Arabidopsis thaliana: one gene and its partner. The protein of the gene in region 2 interacts with the protein of the main gene of each other region in a pairwise test. Each region holds a gene or a part of one and is shown on either strand. Other genes may lie near its edges. The genes, in order: AT3G07270 and NPY4.

Region 1 (5,546 bases), on a different chromosome or scaffold from region 2:
ATGTTCATTGATTTCAACACGAGAAAGGTCCTCCCTCACATCTCCATTGTTGTGACTCTTTACTCGGTTAAACAACATCCCAATGACGTTGTTGATACACTGATAGCCCGTCACCATTGGAATGGGAGATGTTGCGGTATGACTGGTTGGCTTCATAATGAGAAAGGCTTCCCTAGTAGAACAATTCAAGTCAGTAAGGTATGTGTAGGTTAGAGTAAAATCTTTTCGAGAGTGTGATTGTTGGAAATGAGATTTGCGGTAAGCATCTGATAGACTTTTGGTTCAGTTTTGATTCGGCTGTGTCATCATCAGAAGATGGGTTTAGCATTAAGTTGTATATTAGAGAGGATATAGAGAGAATAGGGGAGAGATCTTATAAATTACCCACTAATACATTACAATTGTATCTACTTTGTTTCCCCTTTTCTGGGTCAAAGTTATTCTTGGAATCCATACAAAATCTTGATCGTCTCTTGTGTACAGATAACTTTGTCTTCATCCTTTTTCTCTTAGTACCATTTTTGGAAAGAGAGATGTTTACACTCAAGCTCTGGAAACATAACAGGATTGAGTAATGCTTTATAAACTTTCAAATTTCAATATCTCTTTTCATTCTAAACAAAGTCCAATGTAGTAATAGTATGGCTAACAAAATCTATCTATATTAAGAGAATGTCACACCTAACATAAAGATAAATATTCATTTTCCATGTAGAAACAAACAAACCCATGAAGAAGAATCAAAACCAAGAAATCATTGGTTTGCTTCCGAAGTTTAGCAACTTCCGAAGTATTTATCATATAACAAAAAAAAGAGAAGACAAGCAGAAGCATAAAAAAAAGACAACAAACAGACATGAAACCATCTCAAAATGGAGAGCTTGACTCTGTCTTCAAGGCATTAGTTGTATGGATCTTGTCTAGAAACATCGCTCTTGCGGAATTGTCACTCGAAAACCGACCCAAAACTGCGATTGTCGCGGTGCTGCTTCCAAACTTCTCAATTCCTCTAGAGATCATACAAGTATGCCCAGCTTCCGCCACAACAATCACATCCCCGCCAACAAGAGGCGATAGCGTTTCAGCGATCTGTCGAGTCATCCTCTCTTGCACTTGAAGCTTGAACCCATAAAAGTGTACAATCGCTTTCATGAGTGAACTTCCAACAGGGTTGGGGTTGGATCCTTCAGCACAAAAGTAGCCAATATGAACAACTCCATAGAAAGGAAGCAAATGATGTTCACACATTGACCAGAAGGGCATGTTCAGCTCACAGTGCAGCCTTTTCTCTTTGACCTCGCCATTGACTTTGGCAGGGTTAAAGCTGTTTAGCTTCATTTCGAGGTTGGTTCTTTGGAAGTTCAACATCCATTTGAGGAATCGAGTTGGTGTAGCAATGAGTTCTTTCCTCAACGGATCTTCTCCCAGTGATTTCAGGATGGAAACAACAGCAGAAACCATTTCCGGGTCAACTTCAGGTGATAATTTAGACGAGCTTTTAACGCTTGGGCACCACTCTTTCACAGAGCTGCCATTTCTGCACAAAGCTTGCGTTTTTACACCTTTGAACATCAAGAAACTCTGAAATTCACCCCAAAGATTCGAGCTTTCATCCTCGAAAACTCCTGACCCCGAGGAAACCAGTAGCTTCACAAATCCACGGTGGCTAGACAAGTTCAGAGAGTCCAAGTCCAAACTGGGGAAGTGAATGTGAGAGCATTCAAGAACAACAGCGACTCCAGCTGGTTTGACCCAATGTTGGAGAGCTGAACAAATATCATCAGCCAAACGCTGAGGGTCTTGGAGCCGCTTGGCGAAAACATCAGTGACTCTAGAGAACTTGCTCAGTCCTAACACTCTCTGGCCCGATGGGACATAACCTATGTGACACTTGACATGAAAAGGAAGCAAGCAAGATTCACAGTAAGAGTAATGATCGAGGTCTCTGACAACAACAAGTCCTCCGACTCCTCCTGCTTGCCCAACTCCTTCATCCAACCCTGCTTCTGGAAACAGAGCACTCTGTACATAGTCCTTCACCTTTTGCTTATAACCTGAGAAAAAAAGCCACCAAGATTGATACTTTCCACATTCTAACTTATTTCACCAATGGAAACAAAAAAAAAGGGAGATCCTAATAGATCATAACAACAAATAAGCCAAGTAACAAGCTACTACACGGGACATAAACTAACCAGGGTCAATAGCTCAAGAACAGAGTTACTTATAAGATGAAGAAAAGAGCAAGAGATTCATAGTTACCTCTGGTCCCTTCACGAAGGGCCTTGGCGACACGGAAAGGAGTCTTTTTGATGCCTTCCCGATTGACATCTTCATGAAGACCTTGCAAGAGAAGTTTGACAGCGTCTTGGATTGCTAAAGTCTCAGGTTGGTGCTCGAAAGCAAGCTCAATGCAGCCATTTTTCATTCCAATGTCGAGCTCCAGATTCAAACATCCCTCATCTAATGCGCCCATTTGACAAAGCCACCAACCAGATCCGAATCCACAAAGGGAAAGTACCCAAAAACAACAAAATCACAAATCAGCAATACTCGATCCCCAAAACGAGAATCCGTACAAGTTGGTGACTCTTTTTCAAATCCGGAAATCTAACGAATCGAGTGGTTGATGTAATAATAAATCACCAAATCAGGTAAGAGACAAGGAAAATAAAAAAAAAATCGAAAATTTGAAGGTGCCCACTAAAATTCACAACACAACGAATCTTCCCAGGAAAAAAAAAAAGTGAATTTTCCCGGAAAGATGAGAAATTTGAGAAACGGGATAACACGCGGGTGGGAAAGAAACGAAGGGTTCCCGTTGATCCAGGAATATGTGGATTCGTAAAATCGTTCATTTTATAATTTAACCTTTCGTGTTATCCGAAAGCGTAATGCGATTAAAACTAATGACTTTTTTTCTTTTCTTTTTCTATAGACTATAGTCTTTTTAGTGATGTTTAAAACAAAAATTATTTAAAAAGGCAAGGCGGCGAAGACTTTTCGAATGCACCAAACCTTTCAACATGTTCTGTCCCAAAATAATAATGTTACCGACCAACCTAGCTAGTAACCCACTTGATTCTTTTCCTTCTTTTTTTTCACCTATTTGTGGAAATAAAAAATCTACATTACCAGAGATGGCAGAAAAAACTATAGATGATAATCTCCAAATCAACTTTTTAAAATCATATTCTCTATCTCTTGGTTTAATGGTTGAATACGTCACCGGAACTTTTCTTATAATATGCTCTGATAGGGAATATCAATTGCAAGATTATATTTAAAGACTCTACCTAACCAATCTAGTAGACTAATTTTATTAGATCGGTCGCTCTTTATTAGTATATACTCTAACTGAAACTAACTATATTATATGTATCTAAAATATATATAATCTAAACAAAAGCAAAACAAAATTCCAGATTCAGCATTCGTAAAGCAGAATCAATGAAATTACAAAGTCATTTTTAAAAAGTAATCAAAGAAACGAACTATTTGTATCATGATAAGTTTCTACTGTTATACGTAATACGTTTACGAGTGAAAGGATAAGAAAACATTAGAGATTTTTTTATAAGTTTTAGTTTCAGAAAGAGAACAAAAAAAGCTTTCTCTTGTTAGCTTGAGATGAATATCTTATTAGATCAAGTGGAAAGCGTTGCCTTCCTCAAGCCGACTGAGAAAACATGATGTATGAAGAAAAAAAAAACAGATTTTCAGACATTAATAGAGATGATCCTCTCAATGCAACATGGTTTGGACTTTGGAGAAGAAAGACTACCAAATCGATAGTGGAAGAGCATTGATAACTGATTTACATATACAAATGTATGTTAATTTGTAGATATCAAATGTAAAATAAGGGCTGTGTAATATAATTGAAGAAAGATAGGACAAGGAAAGTACCTTTTGTATCCATGGCAGAAGAATGGTTTATTGTACATTCTTGTTCTTTGTGTTTAATTTGATATATATAGCCAAAGTATACAAAGTTCATAAGGAATGTGTTGAGAAAAAAAAAGAGTTTTGGTGGAATCATTCATATATAAGGAGACATATAGACATAAATAAAAATTTTAAAATAACCATATATGTACAGACATAAAAATAGTATTTAATCTTTGAATATATCTACATCATTATCCACCAATATATACCATTTAATCATTAGATATCATTTACATAAAAATAAGTTTAATGGTGATTACTTATTTTTGTTTTAGTGTTTATAATAAGTACATTATCTTTGACAAATAAGAAAATAAATTATTTTTAATAATATTTACATGTTATTTTATGATAAGTTTCCATTTTACATCCTAAGCAAATATAAGAGTAATTAATTATTGAGCTAATTAGATAGATAACAAAAATATGTGACAAAATCATAACTAAAGTGCATAATGAATATGTTAAAATAATGTGCTATATTTAAAATAAATTTTTTTTTTAAAATGTAATACAGTATCATTAGAAATAACATTAAATGTAAAAAATAAAAGTGCATAGTTTTAAACTATTGAGGGTATGTTGCAAAAAAAAACAAAAAAACAAAAAAATCTTCCATATTCACTTTTGGTAATTTGTATAAAAAAGTTAGTCATCTAGTAATAATTATTTTAATTATTTCAGTTTTCCATTAATTATAAGGTCCATTAAAAATTAAGTTGTTGCCCCCAAAAATGTTATAAAAAATTAAGTAGTTATTATTTATTATTTTAAAATAAATTAGATAGCCCATAGTATCCAGTGGTGATTAAGAAATTTGGGGAAGTGAGTGAGGCTAGTAGGAGTTAAATGGGCTTATTCTATGCCTCAAATTGTTTTTTTTTTAATCATATAACGGAGAAAAGGGGAAAATATACGATTTCAACCCAAACTATATCTATCGTACATATTTATACGCTAATTAAACTTACCATGAACACAATTTTTAACGCCAAATAAGGACTATTTAAATGTGTTTCACGATATATCTTGTAGATCATGTTGTATTTCGTAATAAATTCATTGTTCAATGTTCAGGTAATAATTGTTGTCGTAAGGTAGTTAGAGAGTACTTCACCAAAAAAAGAAAGTAGTTAGAGAGTATAATTATATTAGTTCGGACTGAAATATGTTTTTACTCGTATATACGTATAATAATCGACCATTTTCAAATACTTTTCGTTTTGAAACAACTTGCAATATAACATAAGAGGATGACATAGCCATATCATTAGCACATACCACAATTATTAACACATAGATATCTCTAAAGTAGGTAGTTCCGTAATTAGTATTTAAACAAGATCATCTCCAATATTCCATTTTTTTTACGGACCATCTCCAATGTTCATTTTTATATTATTTTTTATTTAAGAAATTTTTTTTTATATAAAAAATTTTAGTCCATTATATATATCTAAAATAGAATTTTCTCTAAAATAAAATAAAGGCACATTGAATTATTCTCTATATTTTAAAATCTCCTTTAAAATAAAATAAAATATGCATTAGAAATGTTTTAAATCATATTTTCACTTATCCGCCTAGGCTTTTAA
Region 2 (4,482 bases):
GTATCTTCCACTTCAACTATTTCTTTACCATGTGACACATTTTGAGTCTTCTCCATTTTCTTCAAAAGAACCAACATCAATCTCAATCAATACCAACATTATCATCTTCAAAAAAAAAAAACTATCTTTATACAAACCTTCTTATTTAAGCGCTGTCTAGACATTAACTCATAGAATTTCCGCATCATCATCTCTTCTTCCACCTATAAACACAAATGTATGTAAGATTGATTTCTTGCTCATATTATTCATATCAAAAGTACACAAAGTTTCATCAAACAAACCTCAAGTGTTTGGAGTTCTTGAGTCATCGTTTTACGAGTTTCTAAAAGCAATTCAGTTTGCTTCTCCAAATGGCTGTTGATGTGCTAACAACGGTAAATCATTATACGCAATGCACACACGAAAAATAAGCGTAAAACTGAAAACAAAGACGCACTTTAATAAATCGTCGGTATATTCAGGATCCATGCTCCACAAATTGATCAACTTCAACTTTATACTGATCTTGTGCTGATCACAAGTGGATCAAAATGTCATGAGAATATAATAGATAAAAATTACGTACAAAGCACAGTTTGATTAAGAAAAAGGAGAGTCTTTTATCATTGATTCATTCACACACATATCACTAGAGAAGATATGATTCTAATAATCTAAAGGGTATGATCACAAATTCGAACAGTTAACAGCAAAAACATAATTAAAGAACCAAACAAAAAAAAAAAAGCAGATTTAGAGAAAGAATATCTTAGTTAGACAATTCGTCGAGCAACTGGTGTGCATAGTCTCGTGCCTATCAAATTTTTCACAATGCCACGATACTTAAATCAGAAACAATCAATTACGTCTAATATATAGATAAATCATCAAAAAGGAAGTTCTTTTACGTACCCTTTCGTCAAATTTAACGATTCTTATAACTTTCACCACCATAAACACTTGACGATTCTCTTCTTCTCTCTCTCAATCTCACCCAAAATCAAGTCCTCTCTTCTACAATGGAGTTGACTGGGCTAATGGGCCGGTGTGACTAGGCTAATGGGCCGGTCTATTGTGACCCAAAGAGAACAACAAAGATAAATAAAGTTTCGATTTTTATGTTTATCAGCTCTATGTGCTTCTCATTAGATGAGAGACTTTCGCTAATATTTTATGTGTTTGTTTTGTTTTTTGAATGCAGAAGTCCATAAACTTTATATACTAGCGTAAGAATATCCTAACTTAACATTCTAATAAACATAACACTTATATAGGTTGAACTACACTTGGTATTTGATATTTGTAGTTGTAATTTTCTTTTAGGGTTCTTTGAACCACTCCACGATTTTGATCCTTGATTAAATTTTAAAGTATGTTGAAAAGTAGAAAATATGTGTATCGAGAAACGATCTCTGACTTCTCTGATGTTATGCTTTCACTAACCATCTTTATAGAAAACATACAAAAAGATTTGATTCGTTTTGTCCTTTGAATAAATGTTACCAAGAAATTCTGATTACCGCAGGAAAGATGCAACTTTTGGATTCGGGTTTATATTTTAACATAACAAATTTACAACACAATGGGCAACCAAAAAGAGGAGTTCATGTGCCAAGCACTTAGAAAAAAAGAAAAAAAAAAAAAAAACAAGCGTGGTGTTTGGGTTTTCGAGCCTTGAGAGGTTGGTGGGTGTGTTGTTGTGAATCTCTAAGTTTTCTCTGTAAATTATATATTTGTTTACATGTATATAAAACAATGTTTCTTTTTAAAGTGACCCTTTTAAGCTTTCTTGAAAACAAGATTGTGCATAGATCTCTTCTAAGATCCTTAGCTTTGTTTTCTCTTTTGTGTCTAAAGATCTTGAAAGTCTTGTGTGCAATAACTTATTAAAGAGATAGAAAAAAATGAAGTTTATGAAACTTGGAACCAAACCTGATTCATTTCTGTCTAAAGGAGACAATGTTAGGTTTGTAGAAAACAAATATTTACCTCTATGTATTTCTCTGATTATGCTTAAGCAATGTTTTTTCTAAAACTGATATTATTTTTATTGGCTCTTAGGTATGTAACAAATGAGTTAGAAACAGAGATCATCATCATCATCGGCAATGTCAAGTTCTATCTGCATAAGGTATGAAACAAACTCTAGCTTTTAAAACATCAAAGAAGAAGCAAAGTTTTTATGTTTTTGTGTGTTTTTCAGTTCCCATTGCTGTCGAAAAGCGGATTCTTGCAGAAACACATAGCAACATCAAAAAATGAAGAGGAGAAGAAGAACCAAATTGATGAGATTGACATATCAGAGATTCCTGGTGGTTCTGTTGCTTTTGAGATTTGTGTCAAGTTCTGTTACGGCATCACGGTTACTTTAAACGCTTACAATGTGGTTGCGGTTCGTTGCGCGGCTGAGTTCTTGGAGATGAATGAAACGTTTGAGAAAAGCAATCTCGTTTACAAGATTGATGTTTTCTTGAACTCAACCATCTTCCGTAGTTGGAAAGATTCTATCATTGTTCTTCAGACCACAAAAGATCTCTTGTCTGATGACTCAGAGGAGCTCGTGAAGCGTTGTCTCGGCTCTATTGCTTCTACTGCTTCGATAGACACCTCGAAAGTCAAATGGTCTTATACTTACAACAGGAAGAAGAAGCTTGAGAAAGTGAGAAAACCAGAAGATGGTGTTCCAAAAGACTGGTGGGTGGAAGATTTATGCGAGCTTCACATCGATTTGTATAAACAAGCCATCAAAGCAATCAAGAACCGAGGTAAAGTCCCGAGTAACGTTATTGGAGAAGCATTACATGCTTATGCAATAAGAAGAATAGCTGGTTTTAGCAAAGAGTCCATGCAACTCATTGATAGATCTTTGATTAATACAATCATAGAGCTTCTCCCGGATGAGAAAGGAAACATTTCCTCTAGCTTCTTGACCAAGCTACATCGAGCATCGATCTTTCTTGGATGTGAAGAAACCGTGAAAGAAAAGTTAAAGAAAAGAGTCAGCGAGCAGCTTGAAGAGACAACAGTGAATGATATCTTAATGTATGATTTGGATATGGTGCAGAGCCTAGTGAAGGAGTTTATGAACCGTGATCCGAAAACTCACTCGAAAGTATCCGTGGCAAAGCTCATTGATGGATACTTAGCTGAGAAATCAAGAGATCCTAATCTCCCTCTTCAGAACTTCCTCTCTCTCGCTGAGACACTCTCTAGCTTCCCAAGACACTCTCACGACGTGTTATATCGCGCAATTGACATGTTTCTAAAGGTAAAACAAGATTCAAATCCTCTGTTTTTCATAACGTTTCTTGATTTGTTAATAATTTGGAAAATTTTCAGGAACATTCGGGGATTAGCAAGAGCGAGAAGAAGAGAGTATGCGGGCTAATGGATTGTAGGAAACTATCCGCGGAAGCGTGTGAACATGCGGTACAGAACGAACGTTTGCCAATGCGGGTGATTGTGCAAGTTCTCTTCTTTGAACAGATTAGAGCCAATGGTTCATCAACAGGATATAGCACTCCTGAGCTTACCACTACTACTCTAAACACTGAGGATGATGAATGGGACCATGAGAAAGAGTTTTGATTGAATCTTTCTTATTTTGTTTCTTCAACACCATCTTTGAGTTTTACTGGTAGTTTTCATTTTCCTAAATTAGAAAACATTTGGTGCTTGACCTTTGTAATTGGGCCAAGTTTTAATGGGCTTTGTGTTCGGCTTGAAGCCTTTCTCATCTCGAATTTTAAATGAGAATAAAAATCAGAGCAAATTTTGCATTCATTTGTCTCGTTGATGATGGTAATTTCACTAATTTGGGAAATAAAATCACAAACTTGTAGTCAAACAATAATGGAAAAATTTGGAAATAAGAAAAATAAAAAAAATCTGATAGAGAAAGTTGAATAATATTCCTTTCCTTAAATATAAATTAATTATGTCATTTTGAGTTATAAAACTAAAATTCTCTAGGGTCAACAAAAATAGAATCGCCAGGTGGCGATTTAGTCCAATCACCAACAGAACCATCACTATAATCTTCTCCAAGCCGTTTAATACACCACAAATCCTCAGCGCACGATAGCACTTTCCAATGCGGTATCCCTCGCCGGAGCGGCTCTTCGCCGGCGACTTCTGCCGCCACCACGCCGCATCCTCCTTCCTTTGCCAAATTATGTGCATGGTCACACAATGCCTTCACCATTTTCTCCGCGCGTGGTCCTTCTCCGCCGATTCCGTACATAAAATGCAGCCCAAACGGCCGGAAAACCGCCGGGATCGACGGTATTTTCAAAAACGGTAGAGTTTTATCAACCATGCGCGTCGCTTTTGAAACCACGCGCCTCAATCTCGACGCGCCGCGAACTTCTAATCTAAACGAGTCTTTACAATTCCACACGCTTAAAACCGCCCACGAGTCCGGTGGATACTCCAAGAACTTAGCCGAACCGGGCCATGACCTAGACCCGGATCCGTAACAACTGCCACGTGGAACCGCGA

The links.
Region 1: the proteins of NPY4 (region 2) and AT3G07270 interact in a two-hybrid assay, tested with the Arabidopsis thaliana proteins (one large-scale study listed by BioGRID).

Annotation. Positions count from the first base shown.
Region 1 is NC_003074.8:2,312,381-2,317,926, reverse strand, and holds AT3G07270 (GTP cyclohydrolase I), read right to left. Parts: upstream 3,930-5,546; 5' UTR 3,923-3,929; coding exon 3,910-3,922; intron 3,496-3,909; exon of another isoform or gene 2,477-3,495; coding exon of another isoform or gene 2,464-2,476; coding exon 2,263-2,463; intron 2,055-2,262; coding exon 868-2,054; 3' UTR 739-867; downstream 1-738. Other genes in the region: AT3G07273 (uncharacterized protein), read left to right, coding at 1-213. UniProt on the Arabidopsis thaliana protein: GTP cyclohydrolase 1 is the first enzyme in the biosynthetic pathway leading to folic acid.
Region 2 is NC_003071.7:9,808,899-9,813,380, forward strand, and holds NPY4 (Phototropic-responsive NPH3 family protein), read left to right. Parts: upstream 1-1,743; 5' UTR 1,744-1,886; coding exon 1,887-1,948; intron 1,949-2,043; coding exon 2,044-2,113; intron 2,114-2,185; coding exon 2,186-3,250; intron 3,251-3,321; coding exon 3,322-3,570; 3' UTR 3,571-3,764; downstream 3,765-4,482. Other genes in the region: AT2G23060 (Acyl-CoA N-acyltransferases (NAT) superfamily protein), read right to left, coding at 3,941-4,482. UniProt on the Arabidopsis thaliana protein: May act as a substrate-specific adapter of an E3 ubiquitin-protein ligase complex (CUL3-RBX1-BTB) which mediates the ubiquitination and subsequent proteasomal degradation of target proteins.